Linked DNA regions of Saccharomyces cerevisiae S288C. Changing the gene in region 4 together with the main gene of any one other region gives a genetic interaction. Each region holds a gene or a part of one and is shown on either strand. Other genes may lie near its edges.

Region 1 (8,158 bases), on a different chromosome or scaffold from region 4:
TGGGAATTCTGTCCCCACTCAAGCATGTGAAGCAAACATTTACACTTTATTATTGCATTTGAATGATTCCAAGGCACAACATTTACGAAAGGCATCAGTGCCAAGGCTAATTCGCAACATCGAGTTTATGTCTTTTTTGTCAGATCCAATAGAAAAAATTTCTCAAGAGGGATCACATTATTGGAACATTCTATCAACTTGGGACTTTTGTGCTTTATCATTAAGCACTCAAGAATTGATTTGGTGCGGGTTCACGCTTATCAAAAAGTTATCTAAGGATGCAAAAGTACTCATTGCAGATAATAAGTTACTGCTACTACTATTTACTTTAGAATCATCCTATCATCAAGTTAACAAATTTCACAATTTTAGGCATGCCATCGATGTCATGCAAGCCACATGGCGATTGTGTACATATCTTCTTAAAGATAATCCTGTACAAACATTACTGTTGTGTATGGCTGCCATAGGTCATGATGTCGGTCATCCTGGGACTAACAATCAACTATTGTGCAACTGTGAATCAGAGGTTGCTCAAAATTTCAAAAATGTCTCTATCTTGGAGAATTTTCACAGGGAATTATTTCAACAATTGCTATCAGAGCATTGGCCTCAATTGCTATCTATCTCCAAAAAAAAATTTGATTTTATTTCCGAGGCTATTCTGGCCACAGATATGGCATTGCATTCTCAGTATGAGGATAGATTAATGCATGAAAACCCAATGAAACAAATCACTTTGATATCTCTAATTATTAAAGCTGCAGACATCTCTAATGTGACGAGAACCTTGTCAATATCAGCACGTTGGGCATACCTCATTACTCTCGAATTTAATGATTGCGCTCTTTTGGAAACATTTCATAAAGCTCACCGCCCAGAACAAGACTGTTTTGGCGATTCATACAAGAATGTTGATTCTCCGAAAGAAGATTTGGAATCAATTCAAAATATTTTGGTGAACGTAACAGACCCTGATGATATTATCAAAGACCATCCGCATATTCCAAACGGTCAAATATTTTTCATTAATACGTTTGCTGAAGTATTTTTCAACGCATTAAGTCAAAAATTCTCAGGATTAAAATTTTTAAGCGATAATGTCAAAATCAATAAAGAATACTGGATGAAACACAAGAAACCACAATAGCAAGAATATCAAAATTTCTTGTACCATTCATTGTATAAACATATAAATATATACATTTACTACTAGTATATTTCCTTTTGTGAAGTATTTGTGCTAAAATTCATTACCCATTTTATTTTTTTTTCAAATATGCGTTCTTCCTTTAATATTGTATAATAATAACCCAGTTGATTATGGCTATTGTCTGTTTTAAGTGATATATATATATATATATAGATACATACATTAAATTTATTTTTCTTTGATTAAATTAATGTTTTTTAGTATAGTGATACATATTTCCCGAGTTAAAAGTTAAGTAAATAGTTTTATGCCATTAAACGGTGCAAAAACAGGTGTAATCTAAAATATTAAACTCCATAAAAGAAAACGTTAAAATTACAAAATAAATGAAATATGTTCCCTGTGTTGGTATATGCAAAGTAAATAAAAATTAAATCTTTATGCAACGTCAAGACAATCAACTTTATTATGCCAGATTTAATAAGCAGATCTATCAATTAAATCACGTTCTTTGTAATCAATAACGATTCCAAAAGCCTTCAACAATTTTCTCCTTGCACCCAAGGCAAGAACGCCTTTTTTTTCTAAAGTCTCGTCATCTAAGTAAATCAATTCGATCCACGGGGTTCCGCTTAAGGCATCTGAATACTTGTGTAGTCTTAACGATTTTAACCACATGGGTATATTTTTTAGTAGCTTGGGGTCTGTCAAACTCTTTGGATTCATCGAAGAGTTACTCGATAAAGGAGTGTTTCCGTTAGATGATGTAGATGTCGATGTGGCACTTGTAGGACCAGCATTAGGATGCGTAATGGTATTATTGAACACGTTCTGGTTGGACTTATTCAAATCAGTTCCTGATGGTCTTGAAGTATTCGAAAAATATGAGGTGGTATTATGCAGAGGATGATGCAATGAATGATGGTGATGAGAATTGTACTCATTTCCCATGTTAGACCTTTTCTTTGGTTGGAAAAAAGAATGGGAACTTGAGAGAGAGTGAGAAAGATAGTTGGGATTCTCTGATGGCAACTTTTTATATTTGGTACTGTTACCGTTGTTGAATTGTTTCTGGACAGGAATGAGATTTGGGCTTGAATTAACATGAGGCTCAGCCGACTTGGACCTTTGACTAGCGTCGGTGATGTTGTCATATATGGGTTGGCTAATTGGTATTGAATGTGGCTGAGGGGACCAATTTTGATACAACAAGTTATCGGTATTTTCAGGGTCATTAGTTATAGGACTTGAAGAAAAGACTGAATCAATATTCAAAATTTGTGTGTCATCCCTATTAGGTATAGGTGATGCAATTGCAGGTAGCGGTGGGGAGATGAAGGGAGTGTTTGTCAAAGTCTCTATTTTTAACTTAGTATATTTCAAAACATCATCATTCAAAATGGAAAGGATATTGTCCATTACAGTATTTTGTTGGCTGCTGTTCAGCATGGATATCCAAGAACATAATTGGTTGATGTCTTGGCTGAAATTGGTGCCCATGTTCGGATCGTTTTTTTGGGATTGAGACTGTTGTTGCGATTGACGGGATTGCGGCAAAGGAATTGAACCACTCTGCGATGGAATACCCAAAATATTATTTGGAGATCTCTGAAATGAATCCAAATACATAGATGTTGAAGATAAAGTAGATTGCAACGCCTTTGGAGATTGCATCATGGGGGAAACGATAGCAGAACCAGCTGCTGTAGACGAAACTGTTTGAATATTAAGGGAAGGCAACGACGCCTGCTGTTGCTGTTGTTGCTGCTGCTGTTGTTGCTGGAGCGGCTGAGCCCTGGTTCCCGCAGTGTCTAGCATAAAGGATTGCTGATCAAGCATGTCATTGAGTGACATACTATGGGATTGAGGGGACAAAACATTCGCGGTCACGGATGAATTGCCCTGGTTATTGCCAGAATTGCTGCCCGGATTGTTCTTGTTTATGGCAGAAGATTGTGGTGATAGCAAAACGGCGCCTGGATGAGCTCCTCTAGACATGTTATATGGTGACTTGGAACCTGTGGGGAATTCCTCATACGGATGTTTCATGATTTCTTTGCTGACAATTACTTTATATGAACAGTTTTTCTCTTCTGAAAACAATATCTATAGTATATACAGTGATCTAGATTGCCCAAGGGACGAAGTACCAGTGTGACTGCAAAACACAATGTATTCGAGACAATCCTATGGTAGTAGTAGTAGTCGTTGTTAGATATCTCATCGCCAATTTGCTACCAAACTTATTCTGGAAAAAAATAATGAAAAAAATTTGCGTTTTTTCTTTTTCCAACAGATAATTTGCTGTGGTGCACGGTCAAATGGCAGCTGTATAACCATTAACTCTCTCATTGTGGAAGAGGTCTTCTAGGCACAACATCGATGAGAAAGTCAAACATGTCACTCTTTTGCAGGGCCTCTGCGATATCTGCCTTCTGCAAAGTTCGTCTTTTATTCCTTTCTGCCACGCACCAAGCTCTCATAGTCAGTTCTGTAATAAAGATCTCACAGGCTTTGGCGAAAATGATGGGGGCCTCTGCACTAATCATCTTGACATCTTCATCCGTCTTCATGACCTTGCGGATTCTCGCAAATGGTAAGGAATGTGATTTGAAGTCATCTTGATGCTCGGAACCAGGTTCATTCGTAGACTCGATCTCGTTGATTAATTCTTGCCAATAACGGATCATTATCTCCTTGTAGTGGCCCACCAATCCCTGACCAACGTTCCTAAACACATCATACTCTTCATCGTCCTCGTCCATTTCTCCGTCTGCGCCGTCGCTGTTTCCATTATCTTCGCCTTCAAGCGATCCTCGACCACTTGGCGGTAGATTAGCTTGGTCATGGCCCGCCTGGATAGCTTGCAACTCCTGTACCATCCGGAACTCTTCCTCAGAAACAGGTAGCCTCGTATTTTCCCCTTCCCCTTCGTTTTCTTGCAGTTGTTGCTGTTCTGAATATTGCCTTGGCATATTCATTTCCTCTCTCTGAATCATCGTACTGGGTTGCGGTCCCTCCGGGAGCGATTCTTGAGGTCCTTGTCCTTGTTGTGGTGAGAAATTCCTATCAGTCATTATGCGAGTAAACAATCCTGATGCTGCAAATGCGTCACAACTCTTACATTATCTCCTATTCCCCTCTATTCTTCTTCTTTGCTTACGCGGTATTATAGCAGCTAAGGAAGCTTAATCTCCGGAAGCAATCTTAAGGGAGCCGTCCCACGCAAATTTAAGTTTAACTACGGAAAAGGGAGCACAACACTCTTCGATTTTGACATTTCGGGATTTCTACACTCTAGTAAGTATTGCGCTAGGAGGGACCATGATTTACTATGAGGACTTGGCTATGGGGTGCTCAGAATTGCATAAGTGAACTCGAGGATAGCTTTGGGCACTATCACGTACTAAGTGATATGTATTGATATGTAAACCTGCAATGAATGAATGGATTAAAACGGATCTTAATACTGCATAAAAGAGGACGGCAAGAACAGCTGAGAAGCGGTACGCATCTACACAAAGTATGCCAAGAGAATTCAAATCCTTTGGGTCTACAGAAAAGTCTTTGCTGTCAAAAGGACATGGAGAGCCTAGTTACAGCGAAATATACGCTGAGCCTGAGAACTTTTTAGAGATTGAGGTGCACAACCCTAAAACTCATATACCAAATGGGATGGATTCGAAGGGGATGTTTACAGATTACGAAATAATATGCCGTACAAACTTGCCAAGTTTTCACAAGAGGGTATCGAAAGTAAGGAGACGATACTCAGACTTTGAATTCTTCCGCAAATGCTTGATCAAGGAAATTTCTATGCTTAATCACCCAAAAGTCATGGTACCTCATTTACCGGGTAAAATTCTCTTGAGTAATAGATTTAGTAACGAAGTCATTGAAGAGAGGAGACAAGGTTTGAATACCTGGATGCAATCGGTAGCCGGGCACCCGCTTTTACAATCTGGTTCTAAAGTTCTCGTGAGGTTCATTGAAGCTGAAAAGTTTGTCGGCTGAAAAGAACTCTTTTACGTGAATAAATAATATAGATTATATAAAAGAATGAATAGAAAAATTTAAATAAATAATGAATAAAATAATTAAATAAATAATGAATCCTGTGATTAAGTTAGCGTGTACTTTGGTCCATCTCCACCTTCGGGTACTTTCCAAGTAATATCTTGTCTGGGCGCCTTAATATCACAGGTCTTGCAATGGATACAATTTTGTGAATTGATTTGCAGTCTCGTACCCACAGGCGATTTTTCATCTTTGACGAATTCGTAGACACCTGCTGGGCAGAACCTCGATTCAACACCTTTCCAAACGGGAAAGCTTCTCTCGGCGTACTTTACCATATCTTGTCCAGGAACCCTCAAGTGACATGGTTCATCATCATCATGGTAGGTTCCGGTTCTAGACACGGAGGTCAATATATCAAAGGATATCACACCATCAGGCTTGGGGTATTCTATCGGTTTGTACTTGGAAGCAGGTTCCAAAATTTCACCGTCATTTTTTTCATCAAATTTCAGTGTCCACGGAACTTTTCCCTTCAATATCAAAGAATCGATTCCAGAGTAGATCATACCACCATATCCACCAAGTTTCCCGCTGAAGGACGGTCTAATATTACGCACTTCGTATAGTTCCTTATATATCGATGATTCTTTGAATGCACTTTCATATGATTCCAAGTTAATAGTTGCCTCCTTATCAAACATAGCCATTTTGGCGTCTTCGTCTTCAACCTCTTCTAAGACAGGTAACCCTTTTATGGACTCAAAGATACTTTCAGCGGCAAGTAATCCACTCTTCATCGCAGTATGAGTACCCTTGATCTTTGGAACGTTCATGAAACCCGCGCTAGCCCCTACCAAAACACCACCAGGGAAATTCAACTTGGGTACAGATTGCAGTCCACCTTCATTCAATGCTCTTGCAGCATAAGCGATACACTTACCTCCTTCTAAAACTTTTGAATAGTATGGATGATGTTTCATCTTTTGAAACTCTTTGTAAGGTGAAACATAGGGATTCTTATAATCTAACCCCACGACAAGGCCCACAGTGACCAGCCCATCACCAAAATGGTACTGGAAACCACCGCCATAAACATCATTTGTCAACGGGTACCCCATGGTATGAGCTGCAAATCCCTTGTTAAAATTCTCCGGCTTGACTTCCCAAACTTCTTTAATACCTAATCCATAAGTTTGGTGCTGTCTGCCTTTTCTTAAATCATATTTTGCCAAGGCTTGTTTTGTTAAGGAACCATGACAGCCCTCTGCTAATACAGTTTGTCTAGCCCAAAATTCCATCCCACGTTCGAAGGTTTCCTTAGGCTTACCGGACTTCGAAATACCAGCATCTTTAGTAATTACACCCTTAACGGCGTTGTTTTCATCATATATGAGATCCGAGACAGCTATTCCGGGGTAAACTTCAACTCCTACTTCTTCTGCCTTTTCTCCTAAATATCCGACGACTTGGTTCAAAGAGACAATATAATTACGTCCTTTATTGATCATTTGAGATGGTTCTGGAACGCTGATCGCCCATTTCCCCTTTAAAAATTTCAAATGTTCTTTAGTTACCAACGTAGCTAACTCCTTTGGTAACGGAATGCCAATGTCAGACTTTTCATCAGGGAATAGTTCTTTCCACACTCCCGGTTCCAATATAGCGCCGGAAACAGTTTGTCCACCCAATACACTGGATTTTTCAAGAACAACGACACGCAATTGGCCTGTTCCTGACGAATTGTCTAACTGTTTTAATTTGATTGCTGTTGCTAATCCCGCAGGCCCTCCTCCAACTATACAAACATCCACATAGTCGCGCGCCCTTGGTTCATTTAACAACTCTTTCTCTTCTTCAGTAAGATTTGCTTTGTTCAAAAACCTACACGACAAGCTAAACTTTCTCGTCATATCTGTCCCTAGAGCCAAATGACGAGATTTTGCGGAAATCGTCATTCGGATCCCTCTAATTAAGTTCTCGTTAGTGAACTTAATCATTTTCCCTTTCCCAGAGTGGATTTTCCTGTCTAGCTTAAGTTTGTTCTTTTATGTGGCCTGAAGTAACAGTAAGTATATAACGTATTGAATAAATTAATTAAGTGGGGACCACTACTACTCAGTCCGCTTGAAAAAGTTGAATTTTTCAGTTAACCTTTTCTTTTCTACAGTCATGGCAAATCGCGATCCATTGGTAACAAAAAATAAAGCTTCCCGCAAATTTCGGATAAACTAACTGTGGGGTAAATGAAGATCAATCCATATATATCCGGAATAACCGAAAACAGCCAAAAAAAAAAAAATTACTGTCATTAACAGTAAATTAGTCCACCTCTAACGGTTTAGTTGTTTTTCATTTATTTATTTATGGTTGTTTATTTATTTAAATATTGTAGTGAAAGTTAGAACTAGCTAAAAATTGTCCAAATGAGAGGAACACATATTATTAGTTGATAAAAAAAAACAACGACATAGGTGTAGAGCAGCCGTTATGCTCTTGTAAAGGGAGATAAAAATCAATTGAATATATTTTCTAGGTCATCTAATGTGATTGATTCAGGAGATTCAATATCATGTGTCAAAAATCCATTTCTCACAATTTTCATCCAATTCGTAACTTCGTTTCGTGATTCTTGGGAACTTGGGTTTGATTCTCTTCCGTTATCCTGACTGGAATTGATGTCGGATAAAGATTCAGCAGAAGAAGCAGCTGCACTATTAACTGGTGAACTACTACTACTGTTATATTGAGAGCTCTCTGAAGAGCTCTCAATTGGAGTCTGTGTAGAGATTACTTTATGGATAGCAGCCAGTTCAGAAGAGCTACGTGAATTTTTCTTAAACCCATTTTTCGGCAAAAGCTTAGAAAGCCTTGGTGCAGCGGCAGCGGCAGTAACATAAGTATTTGACGATGCATTATGCGACAGAGAAGAATCTGGCGAAATATTCTTGGAGCTTGCAAATGTAGAAAGAGATGCAGAGGAACCCT
Region 2 (8,075 bases), on a different chromosome or scaffold from region 4:
GAGGTAATTGCCTTGGTATGACTTTGCAAGGATGCCAGAGGGATGGTGTAGTTAAATAAATCAAATGCGTATAATTTGCCATGATCTGTGGCCACAAACACTATAGGCAAATTGGGATGTAGTTTGACGGAAGTGACAGATGATTCAACATTAATTAAACAGCTTGGTAGATTTCTCGGTATCCATTTCAAAACATTATGTGCGCTGGTGCCGTTACTGGTGGTAGGTTTGAATTGTGCTAGTTCTGACACTTGAGTGTTCAAATCTTTAATCTGAGATACAAGGGTCTCTGTATTCTGCTCCAATTCAATGATTTTTTTTTGTAGTCTAACAATTGAGTTCCACTTCTTCGGTAGCAGTAATTCATCAATGTCTACCATACTTTCGTTACTGGTGTCATTGTTACTGATGAATTCTTGCCGGTCCACTGATTCTTGCAACAGAAAACCTGATAGAGTTACAATTGCATGTCGAACACTTTCGTAATCTTGAGCATGCTCATGTCGTACAGTTTGTTTGTAATTCCAATTCAAATATCGGAGGACACTTTTATCGAGTTCATTTTTCTGTGTATCTGTTAAAGGAAGCTGTTGCTGCCAGTTAGTCATTTCTATTTTTTTCTACACTTACGCACGCACAGGTGTATACCAACAACCGGACGACGAACCTAGCTGCTTTATCAATGGCTATCTGGGCGACGATGGCCCAATACTAAGATTACCTATTACGTTTACACTCGCCAAAAATAAGAAACAAGTGCAATATGCACGACTTGCAAGCTGAAAATATTTCAAAACACCCACATCCCACAGCACAAAACCAGTGCAAATTCCATAAAGGGAAGTGAATTAAATTCAATGGTAGATGAAAGCACTTTTTCAGGAACCGTTTTAAGATCTAATTGTAGTTTACCAAGATATACTAAAACGTCGTTACTCGTTTTATTTACCTACCATTAGCTAACCGTTGCCATGGCTACCGTCCGGGTCGCCAGCGGCTGCTACTGCAAAAGTTGACAACGAAAAAGAGAAAAAAAAAATTCTCGGCACGCAAGACCTGAATGGTTTTTGTTTTCCCCTTCCCATTTTTTTCTTATGGTTTTTCCAGTTTTCTAGAAGCCGGAAAAAAGGCAAGCTACAAAATGTACTACGCGGAGCCAGAATTAAAAACCACGCGGACGGGACGGGCCGTGGCTTGTGACGCCGGATCCCCGCGTATAATCCGTGTCACGCTAAAGGACAAAATCGGTTTATCCGAGCGGTTTACGGGAAGGGTCTTTTGCTATCTCGCAGTAGCGTGTGCCTGGTTATCCCAATACTACCACCACACCTGTGCTTTTTTTATCTTGTACGTGCATGTATGCGTATGTTTTCTTTTTTTCCGTTGGTGCTTATTCGCTACCGTCTCGTTGATCCATGAATCACAAACACAAGCCGGTTCTGCTTACTATACAAAATAGTCTTGTGTCTTGATTCATATATCCGTCAATAACGTAGCCTTTCTTTATTTTCCTTTCGCTCACCATACTCTTGCATTAGTGTATTTTGTCTTTTATATCGCCAATAAGTGCCCAACTCTTCTACCTGACCCCTACGTCGTCGCCGCCCCTTTTCTTTTTCTTCGCCTAGTTCTATTTGGCTATATATTTCAGAGTGACAAATCTTTAAGAGAGACAAACTGAGAATTAGCATATAGAATCATTCATACAACTGTTTACAAACAAGTAAGCCCAAGACAGTTCCCAACCGCTTAAAGAAGTTTTTCCTAGAGGGAGCAAAGTTCGTTTACATTTCACACACACAGTTTTTTTTCACTTTTTTGGGCCTCTTCCTTTTCCCGTTTTTTTCAAAAAGCTTAGAAATCTTCTTCACCTCCTATTTTTCTAGAATCGTGAAGAATTTCCAGATTTAACAGTTTTCCACTTTTTCAATAAGGAAATAGTAGGAATAATAAAAAAAGGATAGTAGTAACGATATACGTCGACTTTCCAGACTGGTCTCGAGCCGGAATTAAATACAATAGCAGCGTTTGACTACCACATTGTAGCTCCGCTAGAATTGATCGAAAACAAAAATAATAACACTAATAATTATAATAATACGGTAGAACTATTTCTCGTATAAAGATGCCTAATCTATTGTCGAGAAACCCATTCCATGGTCATCATAATGACCATCATCATGACCGTGAAAATTCGTCTAATAACCCGCCACAGTTGATCAGAAGTTCTAAATCTTTCTTAAACTTCATTGGTAGAAAACAAAGTAATGACTCACTAAGAAGCGAGAAATCTACAGATTCCATGAAATCTACCACAACCACTACAAATTATACTACAACAAACCTTAATAACAACACCCATAGCCATTCTAATGCAACCAGTATCTCAACAAACAACTACAATAATAACTATGAAACAAACCACCACCATAATATTTCTCATGGGCTCCATGACTATACTTCTCCCGCCTCTCCAAAACAAACCCACTCCATGGCAGAATTGAAAAGGTTTTTCAGACCTTCTGTAAATAAAAAACTATCTATGTCTCAACTTCGTTCCAAGAAACATAGCACCCATTCCCCCCCACCTTCAAAATCAACTTCTACAGTTAATTTAAATAATCACTATCGTGCCCAGCATCCTCATGGCTTTACAGACCACTATGCTCATACCCAGTCTGCTATACCGCCAAGTACCGATTCTATCCTATCTTTGTCCAATAATATTAATATATATCACGATGATTGTATTCTGGCTCAAAAATACGGGAAATTGGGTAAGTTATTGGGTTCCGGTGCCGGTGGGTCCGTTAAAGTTCTTGTGAGACCAACTGATGGTGCTACTTTTGCCGTCAAAGAATTCAGACCAAGGAAACCGAATGAGAGTGTGAAAGAATATGCCAAGAAGTGCACCGCAGAATTTTGTATTGGTTCGACTTTACATCACCCAAATGTTATCGAAACTGTTGACGTTTTCTCTGATTCTAAACAAAATAAATACTATGAAGTTATGGAGTACTGTCCGATTGATTTTTTTGCTGTTGTTATGACAGGCAAGATGTCTCGTGGCGAGATCAACTGTTGCTTGAAGCAATTGACTGAAGGTGTTAAATATTTACATTCTATGGGATTGGCACATAGAGATTTGAAATTGGATAATTGTGTCATGACTTCCCAGGGTATTTTGAAATTAATTGATTTTGGTAGTGCTGTTGTGTTCAGATATCCTTTTGAAGATGGCGTAACGATGGCTCATGGAATCGTGGGTAGTGACCCTTACTTAGCGCCGGAAGTGATTACCTCCACCAAATCTTATGATCCTCAGTGCGTCGATATATGGTCTATTGGGATCATATATTGTTGTATGGTGCTTAAAAGGTTTCCATGGAAAGCCCCTAGAGATTCTGACGATAATTTTAGATTATATTGTATGCCGGATGATATAGAACACGACTATGTTGAATCTGCCAGGCATCACGAAGAGTTACTGAAGGAAAGAAAAGAAAAGCGTCAAAGGTTTTTGAATCACAGTGACTGTTCCGCCATCAATCAGCAACAACCAGCTCATGAATCAAACTTGAAAACAGTTCAAAATCAAGTTCCAAATACTCCAGCATCTATACAGGGTAAAAGCGATAACAAACCAGACATTGTGGAAGAAGAAACCGAAGAAAATAAAGAAGATGATAGCAATAATGATAAAGAAAGCACGCCAGATAATGACAAGGAAAGTACCATCGATATTAAAATAAGCAAAAATGAGAATAAAAGCACGGTAGTTTCAGCTAACCCAAAGAAAGTAGATGCCGATGCCGACGCTGATTGCGATGCTAATGGTGACTCTAACGGCAGAGTGGATTGCAAGGCTAACAGTGACTGCAATGACAAAACGGATTGTAATGCTAACAATGACTGCAGCAATGAATCGGATTGTAACGCTAAAGTTGATACTAACGTCAACACTGCTGCCAACGCTAACCCTGATATGGTTCCCCAAAACAATCCACAACAACAACAACAACAACAACAACAACAACAACAACAACAACAACAACAACAACAACAACACCATCATCACCAGCATCAAAATCAAGACAAGGCCCATAGTATCGCTTCCGATAATAAATCGAGTCAACAGCACAGAGGACCTCACCATAAAAAAATTATTCATGGCCCATACCGTCTATTACGTCTACTACCACATGCTTCAAGACCTATCATGTCCCGTATACTGCAAGTAGATCCAAAGAAAAGAGCAACCTTAGATGATATTTTTAATGATGAATGGTTTGCCGCCATTGCTGCCTGTACCATGGATTCAAAAAATAAAGTTATTAGAGCGCCTGGCCATCACCATACATTGGTTAGGGAGGAAAATGCTCACTTAGAGACCTACAAGGTTTAATACGAACTACTCAATTATTTTCACTTCTTTTTTCGATTAATTTAATTGTATTTTCTATTTTTTCTTATTTTTTTCTTTCACTTTCCAATTGAAACGCTTGACGAAAATCTATATACTATATATACGGAAGAGTATCTATCATATTATACATACAATATAGAGTAACATTGCCCTTTGCTCCAAAAGCAAGAAACATCACTGAATTATTGTTTGAATTTGCAATTAGAAAAGTTTAAAAGAGTTTTTGTTTTAAACAATATGTACAGCATAGATAATGTCATGAATATTTACATCTATTGAATATCTTTCGTAGCTACCAATTCTGAATTATATTTTAACAATGATATATTGTTGACACCCCATTTCTCACTGAATGTATGCTTTCCGTTTAAGGATATAGTGTCATTATATCTTAATGTCCAATAAAGAAACAATCTTTTCAGTAAGATTTCTTTCCCTAACGTGTCATTAACCATCTCATTCAAGTCATCGCCCATGTGATAAAGTTTTCTTTCAAGTATACAGTTAACCAATTCTCTATCACTTAGCGCGATTTTAGTTTTCTCAACATCAGTGTTGAGTATACTCTGCAACAGCAACCAGTCATCGATAAACAGATACTGGTAAATTTTTTCTATCTCATTGCAAAGTAGCTTCTGTAATTTTAACTTTTTATAAATATACAGTTTCCAGTTTGATATCATACTTTGAGGAAAGCTTGTCAGAAAATTATACAAATTCTCAATAGGAACTGCATATGGTGGCTCATACTTAATTGTACCTTGCTTAGTAAACTCTAAGGGACCCAGACCGTAGTTACCTTGTGTGCTTGTTGTTCCCTTGATATATGAGTTGGAAAGCTTCTTGTATCCACCAGGAGTTAAACAATTGTACGGACAGACACGTGGAAAAAAGGTAAAGATCAATACACTTACCTCCTCAAATATGAATACTAAGGTGAAAAATACAGGTAATTTCCAGATTTGATCTCGTCTGATCAGTTCCACCAGTGTTTTCCTATTGATTGAAAGTGGCCTTAATGGGGCTTTTGCTGAAGAACTTGTAGGCAATGATGAAGACGATAGTCTTGTATTGATTTCATGCATTTCTATTTCCCGTACTAAGTTAGCCAATGCACCGTTTTTTATGCTGAATTTCTGCTCTTCGTTTCGAGTATCCCAGAATACTTTTAACGTGTTCTGAATTCCTGTTTTATAGCTTTTTAAAAGATACAATCCAATTCTAAACCAACCTGTCATGAATTTCCTCCATTTGCCAACCTTAGTATCCAATTTTACCTGTTCCAAGATCTCCTGCTTGGGGAACTTAGTCATTGGTAGGGATCGATTAGAGTTTAGAGTAGCGGCCAGAGGCTCTGGAGAATCGGATGGTGTTGTCTTCGCATTCCAATCGACATCCTGTACTATCTGTAGTGAACCTAATTTGTAACGGCTATTCAACGCTTTAAATAGTGGTGCCTTCACTAAACCGTGCAATTGAATAGAATCGCTTTTTATCACCGATGGTGCTATGTATTTTCGTACCAGTGCAACTCGAGAATCCATATCGATGGCATTAAAGGTGTTAACTCAATTAAATAGATTAATAAAGTTCTTTTTAAATATAGAGTAAAATGTTCTTATATCTCGTCACTGTATCAACAGCCGTCTTCCACTTTTCTACTTTTGCATATAATATTCCGTGCATTTTCTAGCGAGATTTATTATTCATCCGCAACAGGTTTGTACATAATAAAGTATAAAAACCTGCATCAAAATAAATGCGAAAAGGTAAGAAAAAGGTTATCTATAGATTATTTAGAATCGAGTAATTCCTGTGCAGACGTAATAGCGGATCTTGCATCACTGACATCTTCGGTACCCTGGTAAGTTTTTAGAAATTGTTCTAAATCCTCTTTAAATTCTCTAATCTTCTCATATAAAGTAGGTAATAATCTTTTTGTGTCATCAAGGACCTCCTCCTGTTTCTTCAAGTCATATGGGTCAACTGACTTGTCTTCTTTAAGTTTTGCCACATGTGCTTCCTGATCTTTCAGTTCTTGTTGGTAGTACCCTTCCTCCTTAGTCAGCCTCTTCAAGGCCTTGACTTTTATATCCAATTGTGTGGGTGCCATTGATAGTGAAATGTAGTTTTCTTGAGTTCAACCTGTTGTGCTTTATGCTCAAAAATGCCCTTATAAGACGCACTGTATCTAACTGCTCTGTTTATATGTAGCCATAGTAGTTCTTCATTATGATCCTTTGCGGGTAATACTACAAAAGGTGCGACATAAGCGGCCATTTATCGTTGAAATTGTGACACTTTTCTATTGATGACCACCTCTGGTGCAAATACACAATGTGTCACCGCTCATGCCATTATTCTACTTATATACGTATGATTTTACTTGAAACCTAGAATAAATTTTTTTATTCGCTGTAAATGCTACTGCTGCAACTTGCTATTTCAATGCAGTCAATTTTTTTTTGAAGAATATTCAAAGCCCTATCCTCGTCATCGTTGTCATCTCCATCATCACTGTCATCGTCAAAAGTCATGACATGCATTATTTTAGGCGGATCGAGAATTACTTTTTTTAATTTTCTTATAGAGAGTTTATTCAAAAGCGTATTGCACGATGATGTTTGTGCAACTTTTGGAAGCTTGTTATGTATATCCAGATCTTCCACTGATACTGTTGAGGGCAAAGTCTCCGCAGCAGTGCAATAGCCTTCCTCACTAGTGCTTTCAGACACAATGGATGATCTCATTGTCCTCTTATTCGTGTTCCATACTATACTTTCTACTTCGGACAATTCCTCATCTGAATTCGATTGGTCAGAGTATGTACTGCATCCAGACGTGGTGTATTCTGGGCTAGAAATGACATCGTTTAATGTGTTAGAATTGACAGGTTTCAACTTTGGTGTTGTTGACGAAAACAAAGTCTCTGTGTCGTCAGGGCAGACGACATATGGTACCTGAAATGCCTCATTTTTTTTAGCTATTTGTTTTGAAGCGCATATATCGATAATTCTGTCAATTTCTGAATTTAGGGCAGTAGAATCGCTTGTAGAAACGTTTTCATAGGCTGATAGAATTTCGTCAAACAATATTTCACTACCGCTTTTGCCATACTTATTTTTTCTACAGCAATCTTGTGTCTGTGTTTGCATTAGGGAGACCGGATTAATAGGAGTAAGGGCTTTTACAGGCATTACAATTGGGGCCGGGCGAGAGACAAACACTTTATCAATAATATGATCCGAATGTGTCTTATGCCCTAAAGATTGTACTACTGCAGGCTTTGACAGCGTCGGCCTACGTAAACTTTTTCTTTGAATTGGTAGTGATTTTACCTTCTTTCTTTCTCGTAATGGTAGAATCGTGCTTTGAGGACAAACTGGTCCCTTGGGAACTTGCATGTCAGTAAATTTTTTCTCTCTAATCACCTCAAGTTGGGAGCGTGGCCTCTTCTTGAAATCATGTAAGAACAATTCTGGAACAGACTCTAACCGTTTCTTCAGTTTCAGTGTACCCCCAAATCTTTTAGACAACCTGTTACCACCGTTGCTGGTACGTAAAACCTTATCATCTTCATCTTCAAAATCTTGTGGTATCGGTGGAATATACTTCAAGTCATCAGCTGTTAATGTTAGCGAAGATGGTC
Region 3 (7,819 bases), on a different chromosome or scaffold from region 4:
TCCTCATCCGCTTCTTCATCCAGCAAGGCCTCTTCTTCTACCAAGGCTTCTTCCAGTAGCGCTTCCTCCTCTACCAAGGCTTCTTCCAGTAGCGCTTCCTCCTCTACTAAAGCTTCTTCCAGCAGCGCTGCCCCATCTTCTAGCAAGGCTTCTTCCACCGAATCCTCTTCTTCCTCTTCTTCTTCCACCAAGGCTCCTTCCAGTGAAGAATCCTCTTCCACTTATGTCTCTTCGAGCAAGCAAGCTTCCTCCACTAGCGAGGCTCACTCTTCCAGTGCTGCCTCTTCGACCGTGTCCCAAGAAACAGTCTCCTCTGCTCTACCAACTTCTACCGCCGTTATTTCTACTTTCTCTGAAGGTTCTGGTAATGTTCTAGAGGCAGGAAAATCCGTTTTCATTGCTGCTGTTGCCGCTATGTTAATCTAATTATCTATCACTTTATTTCTAATGGGTTAAGGTATCTATCTTTTATATTTCTTATTTCCTCTTCTTATATGATGCGGATGATTTTATTTCTTCAAAAAACATTTTAAAACTCCTCTTTATTTCGTTATGTTCCAGTTCACTACGACTTCTTTTCTCTTAAAGAGCAAATAAAAGTATATAAATCTATATTAAATGAAAATCAAAAAAATATTTTTTCGATCAGCTCCTTGTTCTTTTCATTTCAAAGTTTTTTACATTGTTACACATGTGCATGAATATATATGTTTGCAGAATATTTTTGGCGACGCTTAACTCGCCATTTCAGTATATGTCGGTGGCGGTACATATCTGGGCAGAGCTTCAGCTTCAACGTGCTCTCTAACTTGACAAAAGATCTGAACAGGATCAATGTTTACTTCAGATTGCTTCCTAATTCCATTGATTCCCCATTCTATCAGTAGCTGTAAACTGAATGTTCTTTTTATCGTGCATGTCTTGAAACTATACAACCTATTGCCGCGATGTCTATAGTCTTCTTCATTAAATACCAACTTTCTTAAAATGGGGTGATCCTTTAACCGTAATTCACATTCAAACATAGAACCATCAAAATTTTCTCGTATTTCGTTTAAGTCCAAAAGAGGTTTATTGGATTTGAGCTGATTCAAATCAATCTCGATTAGCTTCAAAGAAGAGTAATTGCCGTTCGCTATTCCCTGAGATAAATATGTTGTAGTCTCTAGCAAGTTCAGTTGTAGTTTAAGTGGGGTAATTTGCATTTTGCTCAAACTTGCTATATTCCCCTCCATGACTACATAGACCTTGTCAAAATTTTGGCTGCCAGACCTAAACAAGTAGTCTTTCCTGTATATTTGCTTCAAATCTCGACTTCTAACCTCTATTCTCATATTGCTTTCCCCATCAGGCAACCCCATTTTATAAGTAGATGGGAAAACTTTCATACCATTTACTAGGCGAGTAGATTGTCTTGTTGATGTGACTGATGATACCGGTCTCGATCTAATGTCGCCGTTTTCTATCAATATAGAATTAGCTTGAGAAAAGTTCCTGTCACTTTTTATATATCCGACTCCATTAACGACTTTGACGTCCTTTGATGGCACCTTTAAATTTGAACTATTGAAAAATTCATTGTTGGTGACCATACTATTTCCTCTACTATTGTTACTGAAGGCATTAAGTTCTTCATTGTCATCTTCATCAGGTTCTATAATAAGATCTTTTGGCTCAGGTATAAATTCGAACGTCTCGATTTCCCTTATCAGTTTATGGAATGGCTTAAACCAAGATGAAGATTTCCCTAGCTCTAATTGAACTTGCACCATATATATAACTTTTCCAAAAGAGTAAAAATACAAATCCAGATTATCGATTTTATTAAATTCTTGCCAATGACTATTGAACGTAGGTGGGAGTCGGGCATTACTTCTTGTCACAAACGCTACTGTCTTTGCCGTATGATTTTTCAGACATTCAGGCTTTCTGGGAAACTTGTCAAATTGAAAGCTATAATTATATGAACCTGGTTTAACTTTGAACGGCTTGGAGGAGCCATCAAGAGCATTCCATACATTATCTGGAGGGAAAACTCTCTGTTCGAATTTCATTAATGTATGAAAGGATTTGTTGTCTTGGCCCGGCATCATCATGCCATTCTGTTGAAACATGTACTCTTGATCAATTTTTGTTAAGGTCTCTGAGAATCCTTTTAGAATGACGGAAATTTTCCTTATAGATAGCGCTTTTGTTAACTGAAGACTAACTATCCCTGACATTTGATCATTAGAGCTATAAAACTCCCCGTTGTACGGTGGGTTTAAGGATATTGAAATTTTTGGAGCCATGGTTTGACAAACTGTATGGTTCTCAACCTTCTCTAATCAAAAGCAGAATCTTAAATATAAACACTCACAGAATATCCGTTGGTCAATGAAGTAATTCTCCTTTGTACTGGCTGCTTTTTCTCCTCTAGTTTATGTAATTCTACTTTTGGATGGGTGCGACTGCTTTTAATTGATTGAGTGGCGGTGTTAGAAGGGCTGTAGAGTCGAAGGCTTGTTTCTCTCTTACGCACCTCTTGTGAAAAGGGCGTGCACCTTCCCCAGGACCCTCTCTCACCCTCAACCCGCATTTTGCTGAGAATTTTCACCAAGGCCCTAGGTGATATTAGATTCCACCTGACTAATTGCATTACAGCCGACCCAAGGCAATATCAGTTTAATAAAATATCATGTATCTCACCCTCTTCTTGGTATTAGTAAAGAGACGCCTGATCTTGTAACAGTGGTGAAGATTGTACTAGAGCAGAATCAAGAATTTAAAAAGTGTAAAGGCAAGGCAGAGGCGATGTACATAAAACTTCGAAGTAAGAAATATTTAATAGTTCTCGCCACATCACTATGCAGCTATATAAAAACTACTATAAACGTTTGTTTTGTTCCTTACGCACAATATCCTTGCCTAGAAATCGTTTTTGAAATTTAAATTTTTATTACCATTTATTTGATTCGCCTTCAGAAAAATATGGAAGAGTGCATATTTAAAAAGGACTATTTCAGCATATAGTAAAAGTCAGGTTATTTGTTTATTTGCGATATCAGAGTAACTTAAACTAACTATGCAGGGCACTTTTAAAAGGTTTTACCATCCCACGCTTACGCGGATGTCCTTCTTGGATAAATTCCTCAAGCCTATGATGGCAACGGCTTCCCCAAAGGAATACCAGATCAAACAACTGGTCAAGCCAATAGGCTTAACACAAGCACCAAGGAAAAGCACCAAATACTCCCAGGGGAACTCTTTGAGGGATATGTTTGATTCGGAAAAGACAAACCACAGAGTTAAAGAGTTGGCCGTTGAATTCAGCAAATCTGGACTTTATGACGTGCAAGTCTTCCAAAAGACAAAGGGGAAATTGTTTATAGCTCCAGTTTCATATTGGAAAGAAGATAAAGCTTTGTTTTTTCCTCATTTGATAGGAACGGCAATGGATGGTACGAAACAACAGAATATCGAGGATATGTTAAGGGGTAAAACCAGTATAGTGAGGTTATTTAGTACAGCATCTGGCGATAAGTTGAGTAGTTCATACTTCCAAGGAATCGTAGACGATAACAAAAAAACTGACTACTTGACTGAAGCTGATGCGCGTTTAAGTTTAAATGACAGTAACGTCCAAATCATCGAGGTCAATCTTGTAGAAAACGCTGTGAAAAGTGCTCTAGTGAAAACGCTTGCTCGTTGGGCCAATCGCGTTCCATCCTGGCGCCAGCCATTTTATTTCGAATGTTCTAGAGGCCAATGGCCATTTTCCGTCAGGGAAGAGCTCTTTTGCAATAATGTCTTTTCTGGATACGTCTTTCTTGTGGACCAGCAGTTAAAAATTAGGTGGGCAGCTTGCGGGGAGGCTACTCCATCTGAAAAGGAAGCATTGTGGAAGTTTGCCAAACGTCTGTGAAGTTGACGCTTTGTGCGGCGGCCAACAAGGGATGGGCGGCTATTTGGCGATCGTGTTCATTCCCCAAACTAACACGAAGAGCATGAGAGAGAAAAAACAAAAGTGCTTGAAACAGGTAAGACGTTTATCATTGATATCACCAAAGAAATATATAATGCCGGATTCTATTTTTGAACAGCCCTTTGTTTACTGTGGTGTTTGCCACAGAAGAACATCGCATGGAGATCCATTGAGGCTGACCTCATGTGCTCATATCCTCTGTTCGCAGCATTCTCCATTAACATCAAAGGTGTGTCCTATATGCCGTTCGAGCGATATCTCCATCATTAACCTTGTGGAATCTAAACAGCTGCCTACCGACATTAGGATTTTTTTTGAGCCACTGCCCCCACTTTTGGAGTCGTTATATAATGTTTCCCAATTCCAACTGAATGGGCTTTCGAAACAGTGTCAATACTATCAAAATCATTGTTTAAAGTTGAGAGAAAAATGTGCAAGACAACAGCAGCTGCTATATCAGGCCAAAATAGAGTTGGATTCTATGGCGATTCTTAAGAAAAGAATACAGGAATTAGAGTCAGTTTTGAATCATAACAATGTTTCTTCGATGTCAGTTGGTGTGCTACCAACAAGAAATAGCCATCAAAATCATTACCAGCCCCCTCCAACCGTTGATCTGACAGTTGATGATAATAGTTTAGAAGAATTCGAAGCCAAATCCTTTATTAAAAAGTTGAAAAAAAACTCTTCTTTGAGAAATTCTTCAAAAAATAACAATGGAACTGTCACTCCCTCTACAAGTGGTCGTGTAAATAAAAACCAGCCTCTCTTTATGGAGACATTGAATAATCCTAATAGAAATAGCATTCCTCCTCCTGGAATGAACCCAAACGCAAATAGTAATCTACCTAATATTTCGACTATTGCAGAATCAACCAATCTGAACAGATTTTCGTTCTCTCCTGTGCGTGTTGCAAAAGGCTTCGATGGAAAGTTGCCAAATCTTGACATCCTCACGAATAATGGCTCTGTATCTTCCAAAAATATATCAAGATTATCTTCAGCTTCTCTCCAACCCTCTTCGCCTCTATCTTCATCATCAAATAGGCTTATTTTACCAAATAGTAACCTCAAAGAATTGCATCATTCAAATACACCTTTAACAAGTACCTCGACGCAGTTTCCCTCAGCTTTAGAAAAATTAAAAATAACAAGGAAGAGAAATAATACTATCAGCGGTTCGAATAGAATAACACACAACTTGAGCTCACACGTAAGAAGCAGTGGTCTTGCCTTTTCATCTTCATCGAACTCATTGCAACAAAGTAAACTGCCGAAATCAAATATACTAAAGCGGTCCAATTCAACTCAGCAACTGACTAATACACATTTGAAGAGTGATAATCATCTGCCACCTCGCTCAAGTAATACTGTGTTGGGTAGTAGCAAGAAAAACAATAAGTTTAGAAGGATTAGGTAAATAGGTGTAAGGATTCCCCGTGACGAAAACAGCCTTCAGAATAGATAGAGTATGTTACTGTATTATAAAAGTTATTCTATTTTCTTATGTGTTACTATATATGGTATTATTTTAGAAGAAATTTGTCGAATTATGTTCTTCTTAGATCCTTCTTTCCCGCCGTCTCAATACGAAGGCACAAGGAGAGGATTATGAATATATGAAAAGAAAATTGTACAAATAAATAAAACGATGATATGCGCACCTAGGAATAGCAAAGAACACACTCTAAAACGTCTCAACCAAGCACGCTATGTACACACATCTATCCTTCAAACTTATGGGGGTGTTTTAAAAAGCACCTGACTTTTTCAATTGAACATAGCAGGCAACAAATGGAACAGCAAATCCAATAGCGAAGAACCCGAAATGAGATAAGGCGTAAGGTGTCTTTCTTCCTTTGACTTTGAATGGGATATTTTCATACACACCGTCTTTGAAGTGTACTGACCTCTTCATGATAATAGGTCTGGTCATGATATTGCTACTTCTCTTAGCTGTCGTTCTAATCATCTGTTGGCACAACATTGCGTAATGGAAATGGATAACTTTTCTGTTTAGTTTGCTCTGTGGCTCTATCTAGAAAATTAAAGGATACAAAACTAATTAACCATTCTTATAAATCACTAAGCCAGCACAATGGTTTCTACTGCTGTCAGCCTTTATTTTCAATTTTTCTTAGTCCCCTAGCTTTTCCGTAAACACCGAACACTTCTCTCGTATGATTGGTGCAAACCGTTTGGTGAAAAAAAGCACATTTGCATATACAAAAAATTAACAAATCTATCATATAATAATTAAGATATAGAGTTCATGATCCTTGTGCCATTGATCAAGCCATCGGCGATGATGATAAACCTTTTATTGATACCTTTTTTACCTAGTATTTTTTGCAAATGCTTCATTATAGCTATTTCACCCATTGTTACACCTCCGAGGAATACTACGAGTGCAATATCCTCTGCAGCATGAAATGTCCCATTAGATCCGTCTATGGACCGTCTATTATTGCTCTTGATGCTTGCATTGATCTTTTTTGTAATGGTTCCCGGGACCCATATACTCTCTTCGATCGCATGTGAGTCTCCATATAACTGTTCAATTAAATCCTCCGTTTGAGAAACTCTAGGTTCTCTTGACAGTATAAAAGGCTGCTGCGAGGAATAATTATGGAACAAGATAGACCTATCATATAACATCTGAACCAGTCTCATTGTCAAGGGCACTACACCACTGTAAGCAAAAGTGGCTTCCGAGAAGTCATCGTTCTCATTTGTGATTTTATCGGCAGCATGCTCGTCTTCTATGGGTACTGTATTGAACCATTGTGAAATATAACGGTATTCTTTCTGTAATCTTGTTGACTTACTTGTTGTAATATGCAAATCAGTTTTTCCCGTTTTGCTAGTGAAAAATCCTAACTCAGCCAATGATTCAAGTTGAAAGCATTTTTCAATGCCCCAAGAGTCGATCATAAAGGTTCTTAGATATTCATAATCCTTTTCTCGAAGTGAATTTTTACAAAGAGACAATAAACAGATTAATCTGAGAATCTTCTTTTGATCAACCTCGTACTGGTACTGCAACTCGAGTATAATATCTTCAATGTCGTTATTAAGTGTATTTCCCATCAAAATTTCCAGCTCTAACTCTAAGATTTTATTGAAAGATCCGTACTCTTCAGTCTCTACCACTTTCAAAACGTCGGATGATAAGGTTGTGTGATTTTTCAAAAAAGCTTGCCTTTGTTGCAAAGAACCTAAGGAATCAACGAATTCTTTGATTTCATGTACGCTCTCGGCTTTATGCCTTGTATCATATTGCGTTTGTAGTTCCTTTGCCAATTTATTTAACTGCGGCCCAATCGACCCAAAATTTAAAAATTTCAAATCATTCCATATTTTATCTTCCTTATAATTGAAGTTCATGTCTTTCTCCTTTATCTTTATGCCAGAATTGAATTCATATAGATCATCTAGTATTCCTGCATACGTAAGTTGTGTCAACAATGGCGTTATAGGATCGGTATTCCTTTCCAAGATAATCAAGTCCATTTCTAGTCCACAGTTGGTTCGTTCACCATAAAGCGTACCCTTGATGAATAAATCATTCTCTGTTTGATGCTCATCGATTCGTTTCTTCAAAAGATGGCTACATCTCTTAGACAGATTACCTATCGACACAACATTTGTTATGATACTATTAGTTTCAAAAATCAAGCTCTGCAACGAATTGACCATATCATCAACCAGTATTGACTCTGTGGCACTCTGCAAAGAACGTAAGTTGGGATAATACATGTTTACATTTTCCATGTTATAAAGGGAATGAGTCAATAGAACATTTTCATCAATCTGTGGGAAGGGCAAGAGATCCCAAGGGTAAAGGGTATATTC
Region 4 (8,420 bases):
AGAAAGGGGTTACCATCATAACTAAAAGATTCAAACATGGACCACACAGTGTTAGAGCGTCCATTTAGCCCAATTGTTCTGAAATCATTGCGGAAGTTCGCTGGCAATGGTCTGACCACGGGCAGTGAGGCTGTAAATAACAACGGTCTAGGTCCCAACGCGGGAGGAACCAAGGTCTCAGCCATGGGTGTAGACGTTTGAGTGGGCTCTCCCATCTGGTCTGGTTCGCCTTTCCACTCTCCATCGAAATATCGGCTCAATGCTGGTTCTAACTGCCAACCATGGTTCCTCAACAGTCTCACCACATCTGGCAAGTCTTCTGGGGGGAAATTCGTGATGACCTGGAACTCATTTAACTTGTCCTCTTCTGTGTGCGAAAGGTGAAATTCACTATCCTCATGATTGACTACTGGCATCTTCGATTACACTATGAAAGCTATTACATACTTCTATCGTAATACCTGCTGCTACAAAATACACTGTCTACCTATATATCACCTTCATCTCTTCTGGGCCACCACCCACCAATTGTCGCGCTCGAAGCCCTCACTATGAACGGCAGCCCCAGCTTGGCGGCAATCCTCAGCCAATTCGCCCTCTCGGTATAAGTGATAGTATCGGTATTTTACCTCTTCTCTTTCCTGTTCTTGATCTTGTTGTTGCTTCTCGTCGTTATCATCAAGAGACTTACTGCGTTGCTGTTCCTCCTTCCAGCGCTGCAAGTATTCGGAACGCTCCTTTGGGGGAATATTCATTAAGTTTGGCTTTGGCCTTGTCTTGACTTTAGCAGGCGGCGTTGATTTAGTTTTTGGTTTGGATTTACTCTTGGGAAGAACCCAGGGGACAAAGACATCTTGCTCCATACCTTCATGGTAACCTCTACGGGAGCTGCCCTGTTCTAGAGCCCAACAATATATTAATGCTTGTCCGCCCTGACGTAGCTTCGATAGAACGTGCCTGATCACCTCAACACGTCTCTCCCTTGTAGACCAGTGATGCACTACAGCAATTGAGATGGCGAAGTCAAATGTTTCGTTTTTGTGTGGTAAGTTCAGCCCGTCTGCCACCAGTAAGTTGTACGATGGGTTTATTCCTCTGGCGCACTCAATAAGACCATCTGAGCGATCTGAACCGATAATATATATATCAGGGTTCACTCCGAGGTACTTTCCATTGCCACACCCGACGTCGATACCGATGGAACCCATTGGGCGAGTCTTCAAGAACTGAGTCACTATGGGCCATGGCTTATATCTAGTTTGCGAGAAATGCGGAGCTATCTCATTATACACTTTGTGAACATACTCCTGTTCTTTTTCAGCCGCTTGGTTTATCTCCATGTTGGTTCTTAACCTTTTATTTCTTGGCTCTTCGAGACCTCATCTCTGTTCAGTTCATTACCGAATTTTTTCTCTTATTCCCATTTCTTCGACTGAAAAGTTGAAAGAAATTGAAAAATCAAGAAGAGGTATATAGAGATAATTATCCATATAAATGAAGAGCACAAAGTAAGTTTGAGCTTCAACAGCGCAACGATGACCGAACCTCAAGGTCCTTTGGACACCATCCCGAAAGTGAACTATCCGCCAATACTGACAATAGCAAACTATTTTTCCACAAAACAAATGATTGACCAAGTCATCAGTGAGGACCAGGACTACGTTACGTGGAAATTGCAAAACCTGCGAACGGGTGGTACATCAATCAACAACCAATTAAATAAATATCCAAAATACAAATACCAGAAAACCAGGATAAATCAGCAAGACCCGGACTCTATCAACAAAGTCCCAGAAAACCTGATCTTTCCACAAGACATTTTACAACAGCAAACACAAAATAGCAATTACGAAGACACCAATACCAACGAAGATGAAAATGAAAAACTTGCGCAGGACGAACAATTCAAGCTCTTGGTAACCAACTTGGATAAAGATCAAACTAATCGGTTTGAAGTTTTCCATAGAACATCCCTAAACAAAACCCAGGTCAAAAAACTGGCTAGCACAGTAGCTAATCAAACTATAAGTGAAAATATTCGTGTTTTTCTGCAAGCGGTGGGAAAAATATACGCTGGTGAGATAATCGAATTGGCCATGATTGTGAAGAATAAGTGGTTGACAAGTCAAATGTGCATAGAGTTTGATAAGAGGACCAAAATAGGCTATAAATTGAAAAAATATCTAAAAAAATTGACTTTCTCCATCATAGAAAACCAGCAATACAAGCAAGATTATCAATCCGATAGCGTTCCCGAAGACGAACCTGATTTCTACTTCGACGATGAAGAAGTAGACAAGCGCGAAACTACGCTGGGCAACTCGTTGCTACAGTCCAAATCCTTACAGCAATCAGACCATAATTCACAGGACTTGAAGCTACAACTCATCGAGCAGTACAATAAGCTCGTCCTCCAATTCAACAAACTAGATGTAAGCATCGAGAAATATAACAACAGTCCCTTATTGCCCGAACACATCCGTGAGGCGTGGAGACTCTACCGTCTGCAGTCGGACACTTTGCCTAACGCTTACTGGAGAACTCAAGGAGAAGGGCAGGGATCCATGTTCAGATAGCTGCCCATAATTGTCCAACGGCTCCAACATATATCAATCTATATATAAACATATATATAATTTTTAACATGTCGTTTGAAATGACATGTCTATTTTTAAAAGGATAGCATATAAATTAATGAAAAAAAAAAAAAGAAAACGATTACTGCAGATCTTCTAATTCTGTTAATCAGCTTTCTCTTGTGAACCATTGGCAGGTGGGTAACATAAAAGCACAATACAATAGCTTCCATTATTAGTTTTGTTTGTTTTGGCAATACATGTTAAATCTTTTTCTTTCAAGTTAAATATAAAGATTATATATAAAAGTACTTCTTTGGAATACATTTGATTATACTTTTCTTTATCGTTTTATTTTTATTTCATCGTTATAGTCGCTTCTTTTCCCCTAGAGGCTTTGTCATAAAACAACAAATCAACCACTCTCTGCTTATCTTTCCTTCCTTTTCAAAATGGGTAATTCAAGTTCAAAATCTTCGAAAAAGGATTCACATTCGAATTCCTCCTCGAGAAATCCTCGTCCTCAAGTGTCGAGAACCGAGACTTCCCATTCTGTGAAGTCTGCAAAATCAAATAAATCTTCAAGATCAAGGCGATCTCTTCCTTCTTCGTCCACTACGAATACTAATTCAAACGTCCCTGATCCCTCCACTCCATCAAAGCCCAATCTTGAGGTTAATCACCAACGACATAGCTCTCACACGAATCGTTACCATTTCCCATCTAGCTCACACTCGCATTCAAATTCTCAAAACGAATTGTTAACTACTCCTTCATCATCCTCTACTAAGAGGCCTTCTACTTCTAGAAGATCAAGTTATAATACTAAGGCTGCTGCTGATTTACCACCTTCAATGATCCAAATGGAACCCAAGTCACCCATTTTAAAAACAAACAATAGTAGCACACACGTATCCAAGCATAAATCTTCATACTCATCTACCTATTATGAGAACGCCTTAACCGATGATGACAATGATGATAAAGACAACGACATCTCGCACACTAAAAGGTTTTCTAGATCTTCGAATTCTCGTCCGTCCAGTATAAGAAGCGGATCAGTGTCAAGAAGGAAATCAGATGTGACCCATGAAGAGCCTAACAATGGATCATACTCCTCTAACAATCAGGAGAATTATCTCGTTCAGGCATTAACCCGGTCAAATTCTCATGCATCTTCGCTACACAGTAGGAAATCTTCGTTTGGATCAGATGGTAATACCGCATACAGCACCCCATTAAACTCTCCAGGCTTGTCCAAGCTAACAGATCACTCTGGTGAATACTTTACCTCTAATTCAACCTCCTCATTGAATCACCATTCAAGTCGCGATATTTACCCGAGCAAACACATCAGCAATGATGATGACATTGAAAATTCATCTCAATTGAGTAATATCCATGCATCAATGGAAAATGTTAATGATAAAAATAATAATATAACAGATAGCAAAAAAGATCCGAATGAGGAATTTAATGATATAATGCAATCTTCCGGAAACAAAAACGCTCCAAAAAAATTCAAAAAGCCTATCGATATTGATGAAACTATCCAAAAATTACTGGATGCGGGCTACGCTGCTAAGAGAACAAAAAATGTTTGTTTGAAGAACAATGAAATTTTACAGATTTGCATCAAGGCTCGTGAAATCTTTCTTTCTCAACCTTCCTTATTAGAATTATCACCTCCTGTAAAAATTGTAGGCGACGTTCATGGCCAATATGGGGATCTCTTAAGGCTTTTTACCAAATGTGGGTTCCCACCATCCTCGAACTATTTATTCCTAGGTGATTATGTGGACCGTGGTAAACAGTCACTGGAGACTATTTTACTATTGTTTTGTTACAAAATAAAATACCCTGAAAATTTCTTTTTATTGAGAGGCAACCATGAATGTGCTAACGTCACAAGGGTTTATGGATTTTATGATGAATGTAAACGTCGTTGTAACATCAAGATCTGGAAGACATTCATCGATACTTTTAATACATTACCATTAGCTGCTATCGTAGCCGGAAAGATTTTTTGTGTTCATGGTGGATTGTCGCCAGTTTTAAATTCTATGGATGAAATCAGACATGTAGTTAGGCCTACTGATGTACCAGATTTTGGCTTAATTAATGATCTTTTGTGGTCCGATCCCACAGATTCACCCAACGAATGGGAGGATAACGAACGTGGTGTAAGTTACTGTTATAATAAGGTGGCAATTAACAAATTCTTGAACAAGTTTGGGTTTGATTTGGTTTGTAGAGCTCACATGGTTGTGGAAGACGGTTATGAATTTTTCAATGATAGAAGTCTCGTTACGGTGTTTTCCGCGCCAAATTATTGTGGTGAATTTGATAATTGGGGGGCTGTAATGAGCGTCAGCGAAGGTTTATTGTGCTCTTTTGAATTGTTAGATCCACTAGATAGTGCAGCTTTGAAGCAAGTTATGAAGAAAGGTAGACAGGAAAGAAAACTGGCTAATCAACAACAGCAAATGATGGAAACAAGCATCACAAATGATAACGAATCTCAACAGTAAATTTACTGACTAAAAAATCCAGAAGTATTATATTCATTATTTCATGAACAACTCAACGATGTACATATGCACATATATATATATATATATATATATATATATATGAAAGACAGGAAATAGAAGTTCCCTATCTTTTTCTTAATGACATTAAAAAACTTCCTTTCATCGCCTACTGCCTTCGCGTGTGTATTGAATGCTCATTCGCTCTATACAATCTAGAACTCTCCGAAATTTCGTTCTACTTTGCTTTCGCTATATTAAGCTGTTTATATAAATTACGTAATGGTATATAGTCATATAGCTAAATTCAATGGTTCGTTTCTATAGATTGGTTCTCCTTAATTTTAATTTTTTATTGCGTATAACGTGAGAGATTATTTTCAACCCCCCCAATACTTACGAAACTTCATAAAACTTCTTTAAGAAATAAGGGCCTATAAAAATTGTGAACTAATCAAGAGAAAATATATAATCAAAATTGATTAATCAGAAAGACGAATTTTTTTTAAAAAAAAAATTCAAAACAACTGAAGGGGAAATGGACAAAAAGCAGCATAAGTAGTAAAAAGTGGAAACAAAATAAGGTCAAAAAAATCTGAGAGGAAAAGGAACGCTATATTACATTACTCAGAACTGCGTAACCGACTAGAACAAAAAAAGGAAATAGAGGAAAAAAAAAAAAAAAAAAAAAAAAGAGAAAAGAAAATTAATGGGTCAGTACATGACTCATAAAGGCATGTCTGTTGTTCTGTTATTGTAGTTGGAGTAGTTACCGCTGCTTCCACGTCCACCACGACTACCTCGATTGTTATATGCGCCTCTGCCAAATCCCCTTCCTCTGCCAAATCCTCTTCCTCTCGAACCTCCATTCATACCGCTGCTGTTATAGTTACCGCGTCCATTGTTCCTTATAGAATCATTATTACCTTGGCCAAGGAACCCACTTGCTGGTTTGAAAATGGAATATTGTTGTGTATTGGATGTTGAGTTCGTGAAATCATTCTTTTTATTTCCTGAGGCATCTAAAGATGAATCCGAGGTTAACCCTTCTTCATTGTTTTGTCGATCATGATATCTTGAACCGTTATTATTATTACTACTACTATTATTATTATTATTATTATTATCATTAGTGTTGTTGTTGTTGTTGTTGTATGAGCTGCCACCACGATATCCGCCGCGATTACCACGATTGTTATGCCCACCTTTATAACTGCTGCCATTGGGGCCTCCACGATATCTATTACTCCCTCTAAAATTGCCATTATTGTTATTATGGTTTCCGTTATATTTGGTTCTGCTCATACTATGTTCCCTTTCCACATTCTTGAAAGTGAACTGTTTATCAACATCGGTTTCTGAACCTTTATCTTTATCATTTGAGACATCTAATTGAGCTTTATCGTCGCCACCTTTCTCAAAGCCTTGTTCATCGCCACCTTTGAACTCGTCCGATTTATCGGGCTTAGATTGTAGTTCAAGAGCTGGTGAGTCAAGCTTGCTTAATGGAGTTCCTTTCTTGGAAGTTTCATTGACCACAGATCTCTCAACTACTTCAGAGTAACTTAAAGGTTTGGGAGTTGGGGTTGCAGAATGTGATTCCTCCTCTGTAGGTGTCTGCTTTTTCAAGATTGTGATCTTGCTGCCTGTTGCAGTGGTTGCCATAGAATCACTACTAGGGATTAATGATGCCCTCAGGGTTGTTGTATCTTCCACGTGTAAATTTTCCATTTTTTCTTCAATGTCCAAAATCTTCGATTGCGTATCAACCGGTTTAGCACTTCCAAAAGGATTGGATTTTGACCGCTGAGTCTTAGTAATGAATGGTTTGCCAGCATCGTCTTTAGGGTCTGTTAATAATTTCACCTTCGTGCTGTAATCCTTAAAATCTTCGAATTCTGCGGGCGCTGTTGTAATGTGGTAAATTTCCTTCAAAGGAGTGGTCCAATAGTTCAAAATTTTGTCCATATCACGGGATGTATATAACTCGACAAATGCTACCTTCGAGTCACGTTTGAAATTTTGATCAAAGATTGACCCCGATTTCAAAGTAGAAATACTTGGATTTTTATTTATCTCCCAAAACAGTTTGAACTTAATAAACTTGGTAAACTTTGCTTGAAAAAGATCTTCAATGTCAAAGTTGGAAAATCTCGGTGGTAAATCAGAAAACTTCACAATATAAGGAGGACCTTGCTGATGCTGCAGCGGGTGGTGATGATTTGCAAAGTCCCCCATGCTACCACCACCAAAAGGCCCTGCATTAGAAAAACGTGATCTGTTCATGGGTCCATGACCACCGTGTGGGTGCTGTTGGTGACCATCACGTTGATGTTCGCCTGCCTTGGTTTGTTTCAAGATGTCAATATTCGTAGTATTGCTTATAGCATCCAAATTAATATCTTCCTCATCCCATACTGACTCGCCTAAAGTGTCGTTCCCTAGAAATTCTTCTAGGGACATTTTCTTCGTAGTGCCATTATTATTAGATGTATTATTTGTTCCTGAATAGAAACATATGTAGACAATTCCGTGACTTTCTCTTCTTTGCGGAAAACCAAGCTGATTAGAGAAAGCAAAAACATTGCAAGACCATGTCTAATCAGCTTGATTTTTAGAGAAACGATAAAAAAGAAGAAAAGAGGCCAAGAGAGAGCATTGTTCAATTGTTAGTGGCTATTTAAACTTGATCTATTTTCTTAAAAATCCACATGAATATTATATCCTCTTTCATGCAATAATTCCTACGTATGACTGAAACAGAAGAAAATAGTAAACATAAAATACTAAAACAAAAAAAAAAAAGGAAACAAAAGAGGACCGTTATGGATCAAAAGGGGTTAATGAGAAAAACCGAGGCACATACCCATTTCTTCCCGTTCCAGCACTCTATGTGATTAAGATCGAGTGAGCAAACGTGTTTTTCTAGGATGATTTCTTGACCAATTCTTTGTGGAGATAAGCTTTAAAGTCTGAAGAACGTATCTCTGTAGTTCTTCTGTCTCATTTAAAATAACCCAAAATTTCCGAAATTTCAGTGCAGCTCAACCCTAAATTAGACCTAATTGAAATCAGTAGGGTTAGCTCGTATTTGAAATATTACAAAACAAGTCCTATAAAACTCTAATCTTAACCCTTATGTTAGATTTTCAGCACGTGATTTTGCATCTTTTTTAGTTTTGCTTAAAAAATTTTGACCTCTACCTTTTCTCTCTCTGTTTAATCAGGTAATAAAAAGTTCAGCCAAAAAGTGTGGTTGTGAAATTTTATTCTGGCGATGCGCAATCGGAGTCTTTTCTATTTCTTGCAACTC

What was found.
Region 1: mutations in TRM9 (region 4) and HAP5 together harm fitness more than expected from each alone (negative genetic interaction), as found in Saccharomyces cerevisiae (2 studies listed by BioGRID).
Region 2: mutations in TRM9 (region 4) and PNT1 together harm fitness more than expected from each alone (negative genetic interaction), as found in Saccharomyces cerevisiae (2 studies listed by BioGRID).
Region 3: mutations in TRM9 (region 4) and COX8 together harm fitness more than expected from each alone (negative genetic interaction), as found in Saccharomyces cerevisiae (2 studies listed by BioGRID).

What each region holds. Positions count from the first base shown.
Region 1 is NC_001147.6:1,006,233-1,014,390, reverse strand, and holds HAP5 (Hap5p), read right to left. Parts: upstream 4,231-8,158; coding exon 3,502-4,230; downstream 1-3,501. Other genes in the region: 3',5'-cyclic-nucleotide phosphodiesterase PDE2, read left to right, coding at 1-1,150; VTS1 (Vts1p), read right to left, coding at 1,631-3,202; SNX3 (Snx3p), read left to right, coding at 4,679-5,167; CIR2 (electron-transferring-flavoprotein dehydrogenase), read right to left, coding at 5,275-7,170; GDS1 (Gds1p), read right to left, coding at 7,686-8,158. UniProt on the Saccharomyces cerevisiae protein: Acts a component of the CCAT-binding factor, which is a transcriptional activator and binds to the upstream activation site (UAS2) of the CYC1 gene and other genes involved in mitochondrial electron transport and activates their expression.
Region 2 is NC_001147.6:818,918-826,992, reverse strand, and holds PNT1 (Pnt1p), read right to left. Parts: upstream 5,971-8,075; coding exon 4,699-5,970; downstream 1-4,698. Other genes in the region: PAC1 (Pac1p), read right to left, coding at 1-608; YOR268C (uncharacterized protein), read left to right, coding at 1,061-1,459; putative serine/threonine protein kinase HRK1, read left to right, coding at 2,126-4,405; RBL2 (Rbl2p), read right to left, coding at 6,219-6,539; DSE3 (Dse3p), read right to left, coding at 6,835-8,075. UniProt on the Saccharomyces cerevisiae protein: Probably involved in mitochondrial export. Confers resistance to the anti-pneumocystis carinii drug pentamidine. May act by the removal of pentamidine, or its damage targets, from the matrix by an active-transport mechanism.
Region 3 is NC_001144.5:904,015-911,833, forward strand, and holds COX8 (cytochrome c oxidase subunit VIII), read right to left. Parts: upstream 5,952-7,819; coding exon 5,715-5,951; downstream 1-5,714. Other genes in the region: CCW14 (Ccw14p), read left to right, coding at 1-426; ART10 (Art10p), read right to left, coding at 735-2,291; ATP10 (Atp10p), read left to right, coding at 3,065-3,904; SUMO ligase CST9, read left to right, coding at 3,936-5,384; tethering complex ATP-binding subunit VPS33, read right to left, coding at 6,221-7,819. UniProt on the Saccharomyces cerevisiae protein: Component of the cytochrome c oxidase, the last enzyme in the mitochondrial electron transport chain which drives oxidative phosphorylation.
Region 4 is NC_001145.3:236,145-244,564, reverse strand, and holds TRM9 (tRNA (carboxymethyluridine(34)-5-O)-methyltransferase), read right to left. Parts: upstream 1,341-8,420; coding exon 501-1,340; downstream 1-500. Other genes in the region: UBX2 (Ubx2p), read right to left, coding at 1-416; TATA-binding protein-associated factor TAF11, read left to right, coding at 1,536-2,576; PPZ1 (salt homeostasis regulator), read left to right, coding at 3,029-5,107; PSP2 (Psp2p), read right to left, coding at 5,834-7,611, 7,974-7,977. UniProt on the Saccharomyces cerevisiae protein: Required for the methylation of the wobble bases at position 34 in tRNA. Appears to have a role in stress-response.